2 linked regions of the Nothobranchius furzeri genome follow. The protein of the gene in region 1 purifies or fractionates together with the protein of each later gene. This does not show direct contact. Links are inferred from orthologs where the notes say so. Each region holds a gene or a part of one and is shown in the gene's direction. Other genes may lie near its edges.

Region 1 (3,824 bases):
ATGACCCTCCCGCCTCCGCTCAAAGTCCCCAAGCTCGACAACCGCGAGAGCGCCATAGCGATGAAGAGCGAGGCGCCCGCTGAGCTGGAGTCCTCCATCCCTTCTCGCCACAATAACAGCACAGACGTTTGCACTGGCGGTGATGCAGTAAAGACACCCGTTACTAGCTCCTCGTCAAAGGAGTCCCAGAATTCCCTGATGCACTGCGCTTCCGGCAGCGTTGGCAAGCCTGACGTCGTGCCTCCAGCGGAAACGAGCGTGGCTCCCTCTGTCGTCGCTGCCGCCCAGCCCAGCTCAGGAACCGCTAGCTTCCATAAGAAAAAACTAAACGACACAAAATCGGGCTCCTCTGGTCCCGTATCGCCCAGCTCCATGACCATCAGTAAAGAGTACTCCACTAGAGACAGGGTCAGCCTTCTCCGCTTCTTCAAGTCCAAGAAGGCCCGCTCGGGCATGGCGCTACCATCCTACCGTAAGTTTGTGACCAAGAGCAGCAAGAAGAGCATCTTCGTGCTGCCCAACGACGACCTGAAGAGGATGGCGAGGAAGGCGGGCATTAAAGAGGTGCTGATCTTTAGCTACAACGCCAAACCCGCTTTGGACATTTGGCCCTACCCATCACCGCGACCCACCTTTGGGATTGCGTGGAGGTTAGTGACGAATCAAGAAGAGTTACTTTTTTCTCAGAGCTTTTATTCTCTATAAGAGATTAAGGTAAATCAATGCCGAGTTAGAAATACGATGAATATTTTTGTTGACGTTATTTATTAGGGATCAAATTAAATCAAACTTTATTTATGTAGCACTTAATCCTACAATGCATGTAACTCAAAGTGCTTAACAAATTAAAAAGGCCCTGCATTCCCTCCCATCCCCAGAATTTTAAAAACAGTCTGACAATAAAAAGCCCTTCACAACACTCATCCTCCGGCACGCACACACACATGCGCACCCCCCCCCCCCCCCCCCCCCCCGGGAAAAACTATGGACTGAGTTTAGATGAGCCAGACCAGCTAAGATAAGGAAACGCCATCAGGGGAGCCATCCGCCCCGACAGCAGCAGCCCAGGCACAGACACAGGGCGCCCAGGGCAGGGAGGGCGGAGACCCCCACCTCCTCCCAGGCACACCTGGAAAGCACCCAGGCCGCCACAGCCGACCTCCGTCCCGGGGGCAGAGGGCTCCCACAGAGGAAACACCGGCAAAAGGTTAAATTAAGGTTAAAATATAAAATCATAAGAGCTAAAATGAAAATTTTAATTAAAAAAAGTTATATAGATATTCAAATAATGTTGATCATAAATCAATGGTTAATTTATATATATATAAATAAAAGCGGTTTAAAAATAGCACATATAATAAAAGAATGCATAAAATAAATAACCTAATTAATTAATTTAAAAAGTGATAGTAATCAGTTAAAAGCTAAGCTAAAAAGATGGGTCTTGAGCCTGTTTCTAAAAACATGAACGCTCTCTGCGGCCCTGAGGTCCCCTGGCAGCTCGTTCCAGAGGCGAGGACCGTAGTACCGGAAGGACGCCTCGCCGTGAATCTGTGTCCTGACTGTAGGGATGTGTATTGGTGAAATTTTGGCGATATGTATCACGACACGGGAGAAGAGGCAATGTATCACGACATATTGCGATAAATTCAATCAGACGATATTAGTGATTTTTTTTTTTTAAGACTGAAGTTATTTTAGGAAAATTAAAAAAAACTGTCCTAATCGATATGCAACATGTTTACATGAGATATCTGAACCATAACAGAGGGATTTACATTTCAGTGGTGGAAATAAAACCCACTGCACACCGCTGCCAACTAGTGGCAGGTGTTTGAATTGCACCAAAAGAAAACACAACTATTTGAATGTAAATTCTTCCAAAAATTAATCACACGGCTTTTGATATAATCAAATATCGCGATATATTGCCATATCGATCTTTCCGTACATCCCGAATATTTAAGTTAATTCAGGTTATTCATTTGTTTCTTTGGTTAAAAGTTTGATTTTTATGCCGAGTTGAGAATCAAGAGAAGGTTAAATTCAGCTGTCGTTAGTGACATGTTAGCAGGTCGATAAGGTGGAGAACATCTGGATGTATTTGGTGATATTAGATCTGTTCTAATGCCAGAAGCTGGTTGTTAGACTCGTGGATGGTGGAAGCGTGAACACCTTCTCAGCGGCTGTCTCCTCCTCAGGTACCGCCTCCAGACGGTGAAGTCTCTGGCCGGCGTTAGCTTGATGCTGAGGCTGCTGTGGGCCTCTCTCAGGTGGGACGACATGGCGGTGAAGCCCTCTTCAGCTGTCGGGACGACGCGTAAAGGTGAGCAACCTCTATCGCTTCACCTACCTGTTATGTCAGGTAGTCACGAGGAACTGAGGGAGCTTGTTCATTATGGGATGGAACGTCCGTATGAGTCGGGACAAGTTTGTGTTTTTGTTCTAGAAACCACAGAAACCAACGTCGTCACCACCGAGATCATCAAAAGGAGAGACGTGGGGCTGTACGGCATTCGCTCGGAATACTGCATCAGGAAGATCATCTGTCCCCTCGAGAACAAGGATGCTCCCAAAGGTGGGAATGCTCACCGTCATCATGACTTAAACGTTATTAACTAACCACTCCATTACGTCCGTGAACAGAAACGCCAACCCCGCAGAGGAAAGGTCTGCGCTCAAGCGCTCTGAGGCCGAAGAAGCAGGAGCCTGCCAAGCAGACTGGCCCCGTCGCCGTGGAGACGTGGGTACCTGAAGAGGAGCTGGAGCTGTGGGAGATCCGAGCCTTCGCAGAGAGGTGAGCAGCACGCTTCAGGCACGGCTGCGGGTCAGCGCCGTCGCAGAGAAGTTCAGCAAGCGTTTGAGAAAGTCCGCACTTGTGTGTGACTTTACAAAGTCCTGCATTTTAAATGTAAATGCATCATTTATGAGCTGAAAACAGATTTTTATTCCTGACTTTTGACAATATGCAGAAGTAAGTTTTAAAACTAAATTTGTTCGAGTTCTTATCGATGAAGACTTGACATGGAAATCCTGTATTAGTTACAGAAAATGTAAAATTGCCAAATCCATAGGAGTATTACATAGAGTCGAGTTTTACTGACTAATTCTGGTTTGTTGGTGTTGTACAATTCACTGGGGAACAACATACAAAAACTATACACAACCCTCATTTATTTTACAGAAAAGAGCTCTGAGCATCATCAGTTATAGTGGCTGTAGAGATCCATCAAACCTGTTGAATATTAAATATAAATTATTGAAATTTCATGATTTAAAAGACTGGAAAATCACACAAACATGTATAAAGCCAGTTTAGGTACTCTGCCAACAAACATTCAGGGGATATCTGAAAAGAGAACTAGTAATTACACGCTGAAAGAAACTGATGTGTTTACAAAACCCAGATTTAGAACTAAAGTTAAGGAGTGGAATATATCTGTAAATGTGTTAAATTAGGGAATAACCTTAAAAGGGAATAAAAATACTCTGTCATTTAATATATTCAGAAATGTACCAAACTGAGTGTACTAAATAATTATGAAAATGTGAATTAAACCAACGACCATGATCGCTCTGGAATTTAGAACAGGAAAAGATTTAAAATGTGTGTGTGTGTGTGTGTGTGTGTGTGTGTGTGTGTGTGTGTGTGTGTGTGTGTGTGTGTGTGTGTGTGTGTGTGTGTGTGTGTGTGTGTGTGTGTGTGTGTGTGTGTGTGTGTGTGTGTGTGTGTGTGTGTGTGTGTGTGTGTGTGTGTGTGAGTCTGACGAATGGAAATTGTATATAAATGGATTATTTCTTCTGGAAAAGGGGGCAGAAGTTAT
Region 2 (3,436 bases), about 420 kb from region 1:
ATAAATCCGTTACTTTGGTTTGAAGCGAACGGCGGCCCTGATGCGCCGCCATTCCTACTGCTGCCCGCGTAGACGTAGCGATGGGTACCGAGTTCGGTACTTTTAAAGGTACCGACCAAATTCTACAGTACCGACTGAGCACAGATTCACGTCATTTGAAACGGGGCCTCGTTTCGGTACCCGTCCTTCATAACGAGAACTTGCCTAGACAGCTGTGCATGCGCAAGAGCGTTACGTCGTCGGTCCCTGCGAGCGAGTTGTAAACAGAGCAGCACGGTAGAAAGAACGCACGCTAAAGCTTGGGTCCACTTCACTAATGGGCCATTCCCATCTGTACCGGGTCGGCCCGGGCCGGGTAGTCCCAGTCGGCCCCAGCCTGGCCCGGTTGATTCCACACATCCTTGTCTTGAGCCCATGTGGGCTGATTCTACCCACCAATCAGAGGCTTGCTCTAATGGAAGGTGTGGATTTGCTGTCAGCAGTGGGTGTGTTGGTCCTGGTCGTCCTGAAGCAGACCCCCTCGAGAAGAGGGCTGAGAATGAGCCTTGAATGGCCCGGAAAAATACCAGGCCACCCAGATATGTAAACAACCTACGCTACCCGGCCCGGGCCGACCCGGTACAGATGGGAATGGCCCATAAATGTGATGGGTAACTGGGTGATGATGAAACCAGCGACAACGATCTAAGTGAGACATCCTCATCTTAATCTGCTCCGGTAGGTAAATAAAATATTTAAGATAACGTTAGCTTGATATGTTAGCTTCCGTTTCGCTAATGGTGCGTTCGCTTTCTCCTCGGAACTCCGAATTTCCGACTAGAAGAACATGAACGCGCTCTAAAGTTTGGGTTCACTTTACTCAAGGCGACGGGTGATTGGGTGAAGATGAAACCAGCGACAACGATCTAACTGTGAGGCATCATCGTTTTAATCTGCTCCAGCAGCTAAATAAACTGTTTAAGATAACGTTAGCTTGATCTGTTAGCTTCCATTGCCACCGTTGTTATCAGCTAATGGTGCGTTCACTTTCTCCTCGGAAATTCTAACTTCCCAGTAGGAAAAATCAAATGAAAAAGGACGGCAAAAGGAATGAAGATACACAGTAAATTTAGTTCACAGTAAAGATGTTTGCTTCAGTTTAATTATCAGCTTATAAAACTACAAGGACGATGTTAAAATACAACCAGTTGTATGTTATTTATCATGATATTTATCAAATATGGTTATATATTGAGAAAAATATATATTTAATTATAAAAGAGAATTAAAATATTAAACACTCAAAAGTATCAAAAATTGGTACCGTTAAGTACCGGTATCGATTCCTAGGTACCGGGAATTAGTACCGGATCGATTCAAATGTCAAAGGTACCCATCCCTACGTGGACGTGGTAGCATACGGAGTGATGTCCTGTGTGTTTTTGTTTTTCAGGTCTGGAGGCAGAAAGCTCAGCATCTGCAGCACAAACAGAACAAAGCTGAGGCCACTACCGTCAAGCACAAAACCTCCAACGACGCCAAAAGCAAAGGTATCTGTGAACTAACCGGGGCTTTCCACCAGACACGTAAACTCTGCGGAACGTCCGAGAACCGTCCAGAGGACGGGTGCTTTTACCGGCAGCGAGGACTGCCCTGGTAGTTAAACTTACGCTTCGGGTATAATTTAACACACAACGCTTCCACAACGCGTCAAGCTCTGCTGTTCAGATCAGACCCAACAGGAAGTCCAACGCAAAAGCAGTTCAAAGCATCCTCAAACTTTCAAAATAAAAGTCCAGTGCAGATTTCCGGTTGCATACCTACTGTTGTTTTTCTCTTTGTTATCTCCGAAACCACGTGGGACCAGCTAGGAATGCTAACCCTTCCTTGTTCTGCGTTTGAAAGTAACAAAGCGCTGATGGGGAAAAGATGCGTGTGATGTAACGTGCCGCTTATGCATCATCCCCCCCCCCAGGGTCGCCCATTGCTTGATAAATTTCTATTTTCTTATGAAAGTTGTAGGAATGGCGGCAGGAGTGGTGTCACCAACCAGAACCCCGGGTGCCATGTCCCTGTCTCCAGCTCGAGTCCCAGATGTTGATCCCATCGATGCGGCGGCTCACCTGCAGCTGCTGGGAGAGTCCTTGTCTCTGATTGGCCACCGCCTGCAGGAAACAGAAGTGAGTTCCCGCGTTTGTTTGCTCCACATCCGTCTAGCTTTCCCCTGAGTCTGGATCTGACCGCTGTTCCGTCGTGTTAGGGGATGGTGGCGGTGTCCGGGAGTTTGTCTGTCCTCCTGGACTCCATCTTGTGTGCACTTGGCCCGTTGACCTGCCTCACGGCGCAGATACCGCAGTTGAACGGGTGTCCGCGACACGTCCTGGTACAGTACACGAGTTTAGATCTGCTTTACTGCGACTCTGTCGACTTTTAAATGACCCTGATGATTTGTTTTGCTTGTGTCAGTCAAACACGCTGGACAACATCGCCTACATCATGCCCGGACTGTGAGTCGACCCGAACGCAGAAGACGGTCCATCTGACCAAAGGTCTCCGTTCCTGGAGAGAGACCCCTAACTGAAGCTGCTGCGTAGTGTCAGAATATTTCTACTTTCTACGTGTTTTTAACGTGTATTTTTAGAAACGTGTCTTATTGAGCTGATTGCTGAATTTTTTTAAATCCAACATTTCATCGGACATCTTCTGACGCCTCGGTTTGGTCTGGACTGTTTCTGTACAGCAGCTTGTTTTATGAATGAATGAGTGTCTTATTTAGCCACTAAGTGGGATTGAAAGGTGATTTTTTACCATTTTAATGTGTTTCTCTGTAAATAGTTACTACCTTGTTGTAGACGCCCTACAGGACTGACGCGCTAACGGCTAGTCTCATGGGAGACCGTGACCATGAGAACAGAGGGCATGGTAGCACCTACTGAACCATATGTGGAGAACTGGAATGAAATCCAGGAAGCAGCGGGAACGCTGGGTCTAAATGTCCTGACATTAAAACATTCAGTTTCTGGCGGGAATGGCTGATGGAGTGGCGGCAGCTGCTCCTGATGGTCCTCAGGATTCAGGAGGCTATGTAGGGTAGGACGGTGACTCTGGCTTTTACACGGAAACGCTTCAATATGTGTAAAAAGACGTCTTAACTGTTAATGTAAAGTATTATTCCTCATGCGTGTTTTATAGGGTTTTTACATTGTGTAAAGTATTTAGATTTACAAGAAATTTGAAAGGAAAAGAACGCGTGTAACATAAAAGCCCGCCTCCATCTAATCTACGTCTCTGTGTCACTTATTTCTGTGAAAGACCGTTGATCTTTTCAGAGGGTTAAAATCCCGGCACGGGTCCTCGTCGGCCACAAAAAGGTTTTAAACGCTAAAAAGTTCAGTTTTTTTGTGTGCTGCTCAGAAATGGGCATCATTGGGTGCTAACCGTGTTTCCACTGCAGGAG

Evidence for each region.
Region 2: the proteins of bptf (region 1) and hmgxb4a fractionate together in Homo sapiens (co-fractionation; 3 studies listed by BioGRID, with this or other methods). This does not show direct contact. The link is inferred for Nothobranchius furzeri from reciprocal best matches to the Homo sapiens genes BPTF and HMGXB4.

Annotation. Positions count from the first base shown.
Region 1 is NC_091752.1:67,663,084-67,666,907, reverse strand, and holds part of bptf (nucleosome-remodeling factor subunit BPTF), read left to right. Parts: coding exon 1-650; intron 651-2,201; coding exon 2,202-2,326; intron 2,327-2,449; coding exon 2,450-2,578; intron 2,579-2,646; coding exon 2,647-2,797; intron 2,798-3,824. UniProt on the Homo sapiens protein: Regulatory subunit of the ATP-dependent NURF-1 and NURF-5 ISWI chromatin remodeling complexes, which form ordered nucleosome arrays on chromatin and facilitate access to DNA during DNA-templated processes such as DNA replication, transcription, and repair.
Region 2 is NC_091752.1:68,081,653-68,085,088, forward strand, and holds the end of hmgxb4a (HMG domain-containing protein 4a), read left to right. Parts: intron 1-1,432; coding exon 1,433-1,529; intron 1,530-1,995; coding exon 1,996-2,159; intron 2,160-2,239; coding exon 2,240-2,362; intron 2,363-2,445; coding exon 2,446-2,490; 3' UTR 2,491-2,795; downstream 2,796-3,436. UniProt on the Homo sapiens protein: Negatively regulates Wnt/beta-catenin signaling during development.